2 linked regions of the Arabidopsis thaliana genome follow. The protein of the gene in region 1 interacts with the protein of each later gene in a biochemical or structural test. Each region holds a gene or a part of one and is shown in the gene's direction. Other genes may lie near its edges.

Region 1 (4,184 bases):
ACCTCCCTTTACATCATATCCTCCCTTGGGACCCAACAATCTCTCCGGCAATCCCTAAACACGGCGGCATTCCCACGGTGGTTCACTTGCACGGAGGTATCCACGAACCAACTAGCGATGGAAATGCAGATTCATGGTTCACCGCTGGTTTCAAAGAAACTGGTTCCAAATGGACCAAAAAGACTACACATTACGTCAACAAGCAACAACCTGGAAACATGTGGTACCATGACCACGCGGCAGGGTTGACCAGAGTCAACCTTCTTGCCGGTTTGTTAGGCTCTTACATTCTCCGTCATAGCTCAGTCGAATCGCCTCTTCGGTTACCTACCGGACGCGAATTCGATCGTCCTTTGGTCATCTTTGACCGATCTTTTCGTAAAGATGGTTCCATTTACATGAACGCTACAGGGAACAATCCAACGATTCATCCACAATGGCAGCCAGAGTATTTCGGCGACGCCATCATTGTGAACGGTAAAGCATGGCCGAGATTAACCGTCCGCCGCCGGAAATATAGATTTCGAATCACAAACGCTAGTAACGCAAGGTTCTTCCGGTTCTTCTTCTCCAACGGTCTCGACTTCATTGTCGTTGGTTCCGATTCCGCTTATCTAGCGAAACCAGTATCGACCAAATCTGTTCTCCTAGCTCCGTCGGAGATTGTCGACGTACTCGTTGACTTTTCAAAGTCAACATCGAAAACGGCAATTCTTGCCAACAATGCACCTTATCCTTACCCGTCGGGAGATCCCGTCACGGAAGAGAACAGCAAAGTCATGAAGTTTATAATCAACTACAAATCAGAAGTTGACACGTCGATTATTCCGAAGAAGCTAATTGAATACCCTCCTGCTCATGTATCAACCTCCACACGTACACGTTACATTGCTATGTTCGAGTATGTGTCAAGCATTGACGAGCCAACACATCTATACATCAACGGTCTGCCTTACAACGCTCCCGTAACCGAAACTCCAAAAATCGGCACAAGCGAGGTATTTATAACCAAAATTTCACTATTCACTAACCGTATAGTTCAAATCTTTAATGCTTACAATAATGAAGGTGTGGGAAGTGATAAACTTAACCGAGGATAACCATCCGTTGCACATTCACTTGGGATTGTTTAAAGTATTGGAGCAAACGGCATTGGTGAAGAGTGAGGAGTTCATAGAGTGCATGACTAAAAGAAACGATGCCGTCAAGTGTGAGATTAGCAAATACGCACGAGGGAACAAGACCGCGGTTACGGTACACGAGCGGGGATGGAAAAACGTATTCAAGATGATGCCGGGACATGTAACGAAGATACTCGTTAGATTTTCTTACATTCACTCAAACGAATCTTACTCCTTTGACGCAACTCAAGAGCCAGGCTATGTTTACCACTGTCACGTAAGTTGGTAAAATACTAAAAAGTTGATGACGAATTTAGCTTTTTCTTTTAGAACTAACTGTATGATATTGGCATTGCAGATATTGGACCATGAAGACAATATGATGATGAGGCCCTTTGCAATGGTGCTATAATTCTAAAACGAAAACAATTTACAATTACGAGTGCAGAATACAAACGAGTTGATATAGATTGAGATTTCAGATTACATAAATATCTTATACAGAAAGTGTTAAAAGATAATTCGATTGGATTGATGTTATATCTCTATCATTGTTTTTCACTTGGCCTCGGAGATTAGAAGCAGCTTGTTAATGGGCTTTTAACAGTTACGGGCTTTAACGGGCCCAATAACAAAACTCTTTTGCTTCTTATATGATTTTGGAGTAGATGGTAAGTGAGATAGGGAAGTGGTGAGTGAAATTAGAAAATTCCTCGTATACAAAGTCCTAACCACCAGTCAAATTCAATTGAATGCTCCCATGTTTCTCCCTTATCTGTTCCTGAACCTACACTCTTTAATTTCATGGTTTCCTATTTTCTCTTAATTTGTTTATTTTCATGTCATATTCGGAAGCTTCAGATATTTTATCAAATAATGCATCCAAATAATTTTGAGCCACTAGTCAAATATCTTCTTCGTCTTCTTCTTGCTTAATATATATTTTAGTGAATCTATTATTGATACCACACACACATCTTTGATATTTCACAAAAGGTATCTATCGGAGCCGTACATATATTTTACGAAAATGTGGATAAGAGCGAGATTTGGATTGGTATTGGTAAGGCAAATTAAATGCGACACACTTCCACATTCATGATTCCACAAATTCTAATGGATTTGAACAAATATGGGACCAATTTTTATTTGTTTCAACTCCTAAATGTGGGACCAATTAACAAGGTTGATGTATTCTTCTTGTTCTTCCTCGTTCATTAATAGTTTGATTGAGCATGCACGCTTCTCTCAACCCACCAGTCCAAGTCAAACCTCCTCAAGCCATCCCCTAATCCTATATATCAGTTTCTTCTCGCAAACCACCTCACAATCTATCAACAGTTTTAAAAAAAGACATAACTCAACCAATCTCACTTTGAAAAAGACATGAACAAAACCCGCCTTCGTGCTCTCTCCCCACCTTCCGGTAACTATTTTCTCTTTAAACAGTATTAATCATGTGTTTTGCTATTCACATCACCAAATTATTCATAGTTTAAAGAGGTCGATGTAGAATTCATAGATATACATGTGTACATACGTGACTTTGTGACGATATATCGTTTTAATTTGTTAAATTTTGATCCCTTCTCTTAGGTATGCAACACCGTAAGAGATGTCGATTGAGAGGTCGAAACTACGTAAGGCCAGAAGTTAAACAACGCAACTTCTCAAAAGATGAAGACGATCTCATCCTCAAGCTTCATGCACTTCTTGGCAATAGGTTCGTATTCATTCTTCTTATTCTTTAATTCAATAGTAATGTGAACGGTACGTGCTAATAATCATTTTGATGTTATGTTTTTTCAGATGGTCATTGATAGCGGGAAGATTGCCAGGACGAACCGACAACGAAGTTAGGATCCATTGGGAAACTTACCTAAAAAGGAAGCTCGTAAAAATGGGAATCGACCCAACCAATCATCGTCTCCACCATCACACCAACTACATTTCTAGACGTCACCTCCATTCTTCACATAAGGAACATGAAACCAAGATTATTAGTGATCAATCTTCTTCGGTATCCGAATCATGTGGTGTAACAATTTTGCCCATTCCAAGTACCAATTGCTCGGAGGATAGTACTAGTACCGGACGAAGTCATTTGCCTGACCTAAACATTGGTCTCATCCCGGCCGTGACTTCTTTGCCAGCTCTTTGCCTTCAGGACTCTAGCGAATCCTCTACCAATGGTTCAACAGGTCAAGAAACGCTTCTTCTATTCCGATGAGAAATGGTGTATTTGTTTGTACACATTTGTTATATTACAAATGCACATATTATAATATTCACTAGAGAGATGGTATAACGATGTTTGAAATATGTTAATCCTGAATTGGACCGGCTGGTCATTGAACAACTATTCTCTTAAATGTCCGGTTCTGTTTTCAGTGATTAGTATTATAGTAGATCGTTAATAACTAACCGACGATAACCGCTGCTTATTTGATCAATCAAGCTGTAAGAAATTATAGCTAATACAGCAATGTTAACGGTGCACATTGACGGGAAGTATTAATTAACTCTCTTAAAATGGACAAGTATGTTCATTTTCCTCCAAACTACACTTTACTCTTTATTCAAAAGCAATTTCAAACTCTCGTTTCGCACAAAGGAATCTATAAATACGAAAATTACTTACTAAAGATATAAAGGAAGCAAATTAGTTAACTTATAAAATAATGAAATGTATCGATTTAAGGATGTCTTAAGCATGGAGACTATACGGTCAAATATGCACCAACTAGTACAAACACGTTCACATATATTTTGAACAAAACTCACAATGAATTTGTTTAAAGTATCTTCATACATGCTTAAAATAAAAATTAGAAAGTAAATACATTTGTACAACCGCTATTCAAACATCATCAAATATTAAACAAAATTGCATGACCAAAGAATATGAATGTTTGACAAGTATAGAAGAGGAGATTGTTTGCTAAGAAAATGGACCAATATTTATCATCGAAACTACAATCATCATTAAGGTTGTTTCTACGATTGCGGGATCTACAACCATCAAAGAAGTTGTTTCCACAACTGTATAAACTCTGATCTCAC
Region 2 (6,416 bases), 3.2 Mb from region 1:
GGTTGGTTTTATAATTTATGATGGAATCAAAATCATAGAGAGTGGCTCGCGCTGACAAAGTTATTAATGCTAAATTAAATAAACTGGACCCCAAAAAATGGACTGTTCGATCACTCTTTTTTTTTTTTATCAACAGTAGACTCTGTTCCGTGCAATTAATGCGAGCATCTCTTTCATTTTACTTTTTCAATATTTTGTTTTTATTTCTATTGTGTGAAGAATTTATTTATATTTTCAGTCTCGATAAAACAATGCATCATCATCTGCGGCGTTAGATATTATAATGAAAGATTTATTAGTTGTGTACTAGCTAATGGTTAATATGTCATATGTGTAACAAAATGAGGTGTATATTTAGTTTGTTTTTTTGTTTTTTTGTTTTTTGTCCAATGCATTAGAAGTACTGTCCAGAATTGTAGTATTTCACTACATTTTTATAGTCAAATTATATATATTAAGCAAAAGTCAAAATGACCCTTTTTGAGCTGAGAGCCGGAGACTATAGGCTACAGAATCTAATGTTTGCGTGTGTTCACGATGACCACAGTGTAACTAGATGACATATCTTTTAGGAAAGTAACGAAAAAAATAATCAGCAAAGAAAAACTATTTAAGAAATTACTGAAAACACAGACGTTCACGTTGATATAAATGTACAAATCTTCATTTATCAGGTTATTATGTTTTATGAATCATACAGTTAGTACATGAAATAAACAATATCTGACTCCGTTTTTCAACGTACAGACACGACAAGTAGTCCTAGTTAGGGGTGATAATTTTGGGAGATGCGAAGAATTAATTAAGAGCATGCACATAGCATATGATAATAATGACTCTTGGTTTCTTCTTTATTAATCATCTCATTTAAATATCATTTTCTCGTGATTTTGATCAACATAGGTTGTTACATAGCTAAACCCATTATCAATCCCTTACCTTAGAATTGAAGTCAAGGAAGAATACTAAACCTTACATTATCTTTAGATCCCAAATTCACTCGTTCTTGATAACCTTATTGTCTAACTCCATATATAATTGGCTCGTGTACGCATCTTTAATACAAATAATTTACGAGGTTGCGATTAATTAAAATGAAGGTGCATAGAAAATTAATTAGCAATTATACAAATGTTCTATGGTATTTCCGAAGATTCGAAAACAATGTAGAATATATATATTCAATGAACATAGTATATATTATATTTTAGTTAAACCATACAACGTAATTTAGTCAATACTAGAAGCTTGTCTCTCTCTCCAGGGTATCTCCTCGAGGCATAACATTAATTTCATGTCTTTCTTCGTGTTTCACCATTAGGATTTGTTCTATCTTAAAATCAAGTTAATATTTGTGTATATATTTGACCAGTAAGGCAGTAACATATAAACATTGCTTATAAGGGTGGCAAATTGGTTTGGTTGGATTTGTAAGTGTTATGCCTATGAATTTTTTTTTTGGTTCAAACTCTGCTTAAAGTCTAAAGACCTATATTATGAGTTACTAAAAAAAGTTATTTCCTCCGTTTCAAAATATAAGATGTTTTAAATAAAAATATAAAAATTAAAAAATCAAAATATAAGATGTTTTAATTAAAAATATAAAAATTAAAAAATATTTTTTAAAAAATTCAGCAGATTATAAAAGCTGATGCATAATATAAATATGTATACAATATTAAATTAATCTATAATTTACATAAAAACTTGAAAATATTTTATATTGTGAAACAAACAAATTTCTTCAGAACATCGTTTATCATGAAACGTAGAGAATAGGACATATCATTGATAGAAAAAAGATTTTAGAGATGGAAAAATAACTAATTTCTCTTAACAAAAATAAATTTCCAAAAGGAGAGTGGTGCTTGGAACACCGTATTCAAAAGGGTTATACACTAGACACTACTTTTTTTTTTTTTTACCATCTTGTTTTATATATATTTATTTAAAATTCCTCGTAAAGTTCAGTGTTTTGTGATTATATACAGTGTACACACACCTAAAATAAGTATCCATAAAGAGATTTGGTCATTCGGACACCGTCCTTTTCTCTCAACTCAAAGCTCAATTCAACCACAACAGATAGTAACTTGAAAGTCACAAATATTTAATATTTTCCCATTATAGAAGGTTAAAAAAAATAAATATATTCTGGGTTTTGTTGTCTTCTTCTTTCTTCCTCAGGAAACCAAACCAATGTCATGTAAAAATCACTAACTCATGACTAGTCATAACCTTTAAATCACTTCTGCTTTTTTTCTGTTTCTCTTTTGATTTATTCAAAGACAACAAAGTTTTGTTTTTGACAAAAAATCTGATCTTTGTTTGTTCGTTTGTTTGTTACATGGGGATGAAGAAACAATGGCAACCGGAGAAAACAGAACGGTGCCGGACAATCTAAAGAAACAGCTCGCAGTTTCAGTTCGAAACATTCAATGGAGTTATGGAATCTTCTGGTCTGTCTCTGCTTCTCAACCAGGGTACAATCTCGTAATCTTTATCCTTCAAATTAACTTTTCTTGAAAATAAAGTTTTGTTTGAGACATTCTTGACTTTAGTCCAAAACTCAGATAAAACTTTATCCTTACTTCAAGATTTCGATTTTTGTTATGTTTTCTCGATTAATCCAATTTTTCTTGGCTATCTTTTTTGTTTTCTCTAAACGAAGAGTGTTGGAGTGGGGAGATGGATATTACAATGGAGACATAAAGACAAGGAAGACGATTCAAGCAGCAGAAGTCAAAATTGACCAGTTAGGTCTTGAGAGAAGTGAGCAGCTTAGAGAGCTTTATGAATCTCTCTCCCTCGCTGAATCCTCAGCTTCCGGTAGCTCTCAGGTCACTAGACGAGCTTCCGCCGCCGCTCTCTCACCGGAGGACCTCACCGACACCGAGTGGTACTACTTAGTATGCATGTCTTTCGTCTTCAACATCGGTGAAGGGTAATTCCGTCTCTTCCTCATAATCCTTTCATTTCACCTTTTTTAAAAACAAAAACCTATCTTTCAGAAAAATTTCTTTTATGAAGAATATCGTTTTTAAATTATAGTATTATTTTATTCGTAGACATTATAAGAAAATGTAAACGATACCAAAATTCTAAAAAAAAAGTATAAGGGTATGTTTTATTTTGTCTCATAAAAAAAGACAAGAACACCCTTTATTAGCTTGTCTCCTTCATTTCTTCTTCCATGTGAGCTTATTCAGAAATCCGACATGTACGAGTTTAATTATTAACAATGCAATTATCCTTTATATTTACTTAATTTTTTTTATGTTTGTAGGTTTTTTTAAAGTATACCTCTTTTTAATCTTAGAAGACATACATAGATAGAAATGCGAAAGCACAACGGAAATAAGTTTTTACTTCATTTGCATAATTGCATTATACATTTGCTATTCAAAGAAAGTAGTAGAAAACTTTTGTTCCCATTAAGATAAAGATTTTGAGATACAAAACATAAAGGGTATTTCCGTCTTTCTAATGTAGAATCCCCGGAGGAGCGTTATCCAATGGAGAACCAATATGGCTTTGTAACGCTGAAACCGCCGATAGCAAAGTCTTCACTCGTTCTCTTCTAGCTAAAGTAAGTTTTTTGCAATTGGAAACGCTAACGCTAGAATTCAAGAACGCTATAACTGAAAACGCTCTTTTTTTTTTTTTTTTTCGTTTGGCGTTTTGCTCTTTAAAGAGTGCTTCGCTTCAGACAGTGGTTTGCTTCCCGTTTCTTGGAGGAGTCCTTGAGATTGGCACGACCGAACATGTAAGCCTATATTTCCTATTTTTTTTCCAACACTATCAAAACATTCTTAAAAGTACCCAAAACTTATCTTTTGTTCTTTTAGATTAAAGAGGACATGAACGTGATACAAAGTGTTAAGACGTTGTTCCTTGAAGCTCCTCCATATACTACAATATCGACAAGATCAGACTATCAAGAAATTTTTGATCCCTTAAGTGACGATAAATACACTCCGGTGTTTATAACCGAAGCTTTTCCAACAACTTCTACTAGCGGGTTTGAGCAAGAACCTGAGGATCATGATTCGTTCATCAACGATGGTGGTGCGTCTCAGGTACAAAGCTGGCAGTTTGTGGGTGAAGAAATCAGTAACTGCATTCACCAATCGTTAAATTCAAGCGATTGCGTTTCCCAAACGTTTGTTGGAACAACCGGGAGACTTGCTTGCGATCCAAGGAAGAGTAGGATTCAACGGTTAGGTCAGATTCAAGAACAGAGTAACCATGTAAATATGGACGACGATGTTCATTACCAAGGCGTGATATCGACGATTTTCAAAACAACGCATCAGCTAATACTCGGACCGCAGTTTCAGAACTTCGATAAGCGGTCTAGCTTCACAAGGTGGAAGCGATCATCATCTGTGAAAACATTGGGAGAGAAATCGCAGAAGATGATAAAGAAGATACTCTTCGAGGTTCCTTTGATGAACAAGAAAGAAGAGTTGTTACCGGACACACCAGAGGAAACCGGGAACCATGCCTTGTCCGAGAAGAAACGCCGCGAGAAATTGAATGAACGGTTTATGACATTGAGATCAATCATTCCCTCAATTAGTAAGGTAACCGATTCTAGCAAATCTGTTTCAGTAACGTTTTATGTTTATTTCTTGATAATAGGAAGACATGTTTAAATATAATGCTCTGAAGGAACTAAGCTTGAGTCTCTTGCTGATTCTACAGATTGATAAAGTGTCGATTCTTGATGATACAATTGAGTATCTTCAAGATTTACAGAAACGGGTTCAAGAGTTGGAATCTTGTAGAGAATCTGCTGATACAGAGACACGGATAACGATGATGAAGAGGAAGAAACCGGATGATGAGGAGGAAAGAGCATCAGCGAATTGTATGAACAGCAAAAGGAAGGGGAGTGATGTGAATGTAGGAGAAGATGAACCAGCTGATATCGGTTATGCTGGTCTAACGGATAACTTAAGGATCAGTTCATTAGGTAACGAGGTGGTTATTGAGCTTAGATGCGCTTGGAGAGAAGGGATATTGCTTGAGATAATGGATGTGATTAGTGATCTCAACTTGGATTCTCACTCGGTTCAGTCGTCAACCGGAGACGGTTTACTCTGCTTAACTGTCAATTGCAAGGTACAGTCATTAAACCAAGCTTGATTTATGTTACTCAACCGGAATATGAGCAAACCGAAATGTGATATGTAATGTTTAATGTTGATTGCAGCATAAAGGGACAAAAATAGCAACAACAGGAATGATCCAAGAGGCACTTCAAAGGGTTGCATGGATATGTTAAGGATTCAAGGTTTAGATTTGACAAAATTAGCTTTTTCTCTGGTTTGGTTTCCCAATTTTCGGTAATCAGTGATTCTAACCGAGTTTTTGTGATTTTGAAGTTTTGGAAGATCCTTAAGAATTCTTGAAAAATCGTTCCTTTTGGCTCATTACGTAGGAGAAGACAATAAGAAATTACTTACTTAGCAATTAGCATACTATGAAATTCAATTATGCGAAATATGAAAACCACTCGTAGTAGTTCGTGCACTATCATTTTTAAAAGTAAGTAAACTAGAACTTTTTTTTTGTTGTTGAAAGTAACTTTTGTATAAGTATTTGTAACGAGATCATATTTTGTGACTAGTTCAAGTTCGACCAAAAACATTATAGTAAAATCTAAAGAGATACTACATAGCCCGATTCCAGTATCTTAAGTCTTCAATCTCACTTCAAATATTCTTTATATGTTTTTAGAAAAGTTATGTAAGAAATTAAAAAAATATTTTTAGAAAAGTTAAAGATAGAAATGGTGGTCAAAAGCTGATAAAAGTGTTCGCAAAATACACTGCCTTATAGAGAAAAGAAGTAATGTCATTTCAAATAATTGCATCTAACGCCACTGAGATCTCACTTCAACATGTGTTACCATTTTAACATTAACTTTTTATTTCAAAAAGAAAGGAAGAAAATTGTAAGCACAAGGACTATACTGTATTTGGATTTCGTTTGGTAGCATCAAAGTAACACTCTCATTTTAGTAAGAGGTTAACTTTATTGAAAATACACATAATGTGGGGTTAGAAATTGTGTTGAACAATTTCTTGATTTAGAACGAAACTTAAAAAGAGTGGAAATTCTTTAATGGGTTGGTTGGCATGGTAGGTGGCCATTAAGAAGATCCATGAATTGGTGAAGTTGAGGTTTATATCATGTATTAGCCTCGGTATATAGTGTGTAAACCTTGATATTTAGTATGTAGAAGTATGACTATAGCTTGTATAAGCGCGGCCATATCTGAACTCAGATTTTGCTTATATGAATCTGGCTACAAGAAGCATTTGTAAATATGGTAGTTGCAAACTTTCACCTGCAATATGTATAAAGCTTAGGTAGAAGTGCACAACACAGTAATCTAAGTACATAAT

Evidence for each region.
Region 2: the proteins of MYBL2 (region 1) and EGL3 form a complex in vitro, tested with the Arabidopsis thaliana proteins (one study listed by BioGRID).

What each region holds. Positions count from the first base shown.
Region 1 is NC_003070.9:26,794,550-26,798,733, reverse strand, and holds MYBL2 (MYB-like 2), read left to right. Parts: upstream 1-2,204; 5' UTR 2,205-2,507; coding exon 2,508-2,547; exon of another isoform or gene 2,548-2,717; coding exon 2,718-2,844; intron 2,845-2,930; coding exon 2,931-3,351; 3' UTR 3,352-3,682; downstream 3,683-4,184. Other genes in the region: LPR2 (Cupredoxin superfamily protein), read left to right, coding at 1-998, 1,069-1,398, 1,480-1,533.
Region 2 is NC_003070.9:23,597,445-23,603,860, forward strand, and holds EGL3 (basic helix-loop-helix (bHLH) DNA-binding superfamily protein), read left to right. Parts: upstream 1-1,968; 5' UTR 1,969-2,206; exon of another isoform or gene 2,207-2,359; 5' UTR 2,360-2,364; coding exon 2,365-2,483; intron 2,484-2,671; coding exon 2,672-2,944; intron 2,945-3,492; coding exon 3,493-3,589; intron 3,590-3,694; coding exon 3,695-3,766; intron 3,767-3,848; coding exon 3,849-4,586; intron 4,587-4,707; coding exon 4,708-5,127; intron 5,128-5,218; coding exon 5,219-5,290; 3' UTR 5,291-5,720; downstream 5,721-6,416. UniProt on the Arabidopsis thaliana protein: Transcription activator, when associated with MYB75/PAP1, MYB90/PAP2 or TT2. Involved in epidermal cell fate specification. Negatively regulates stomata formation but promotes trichome formation.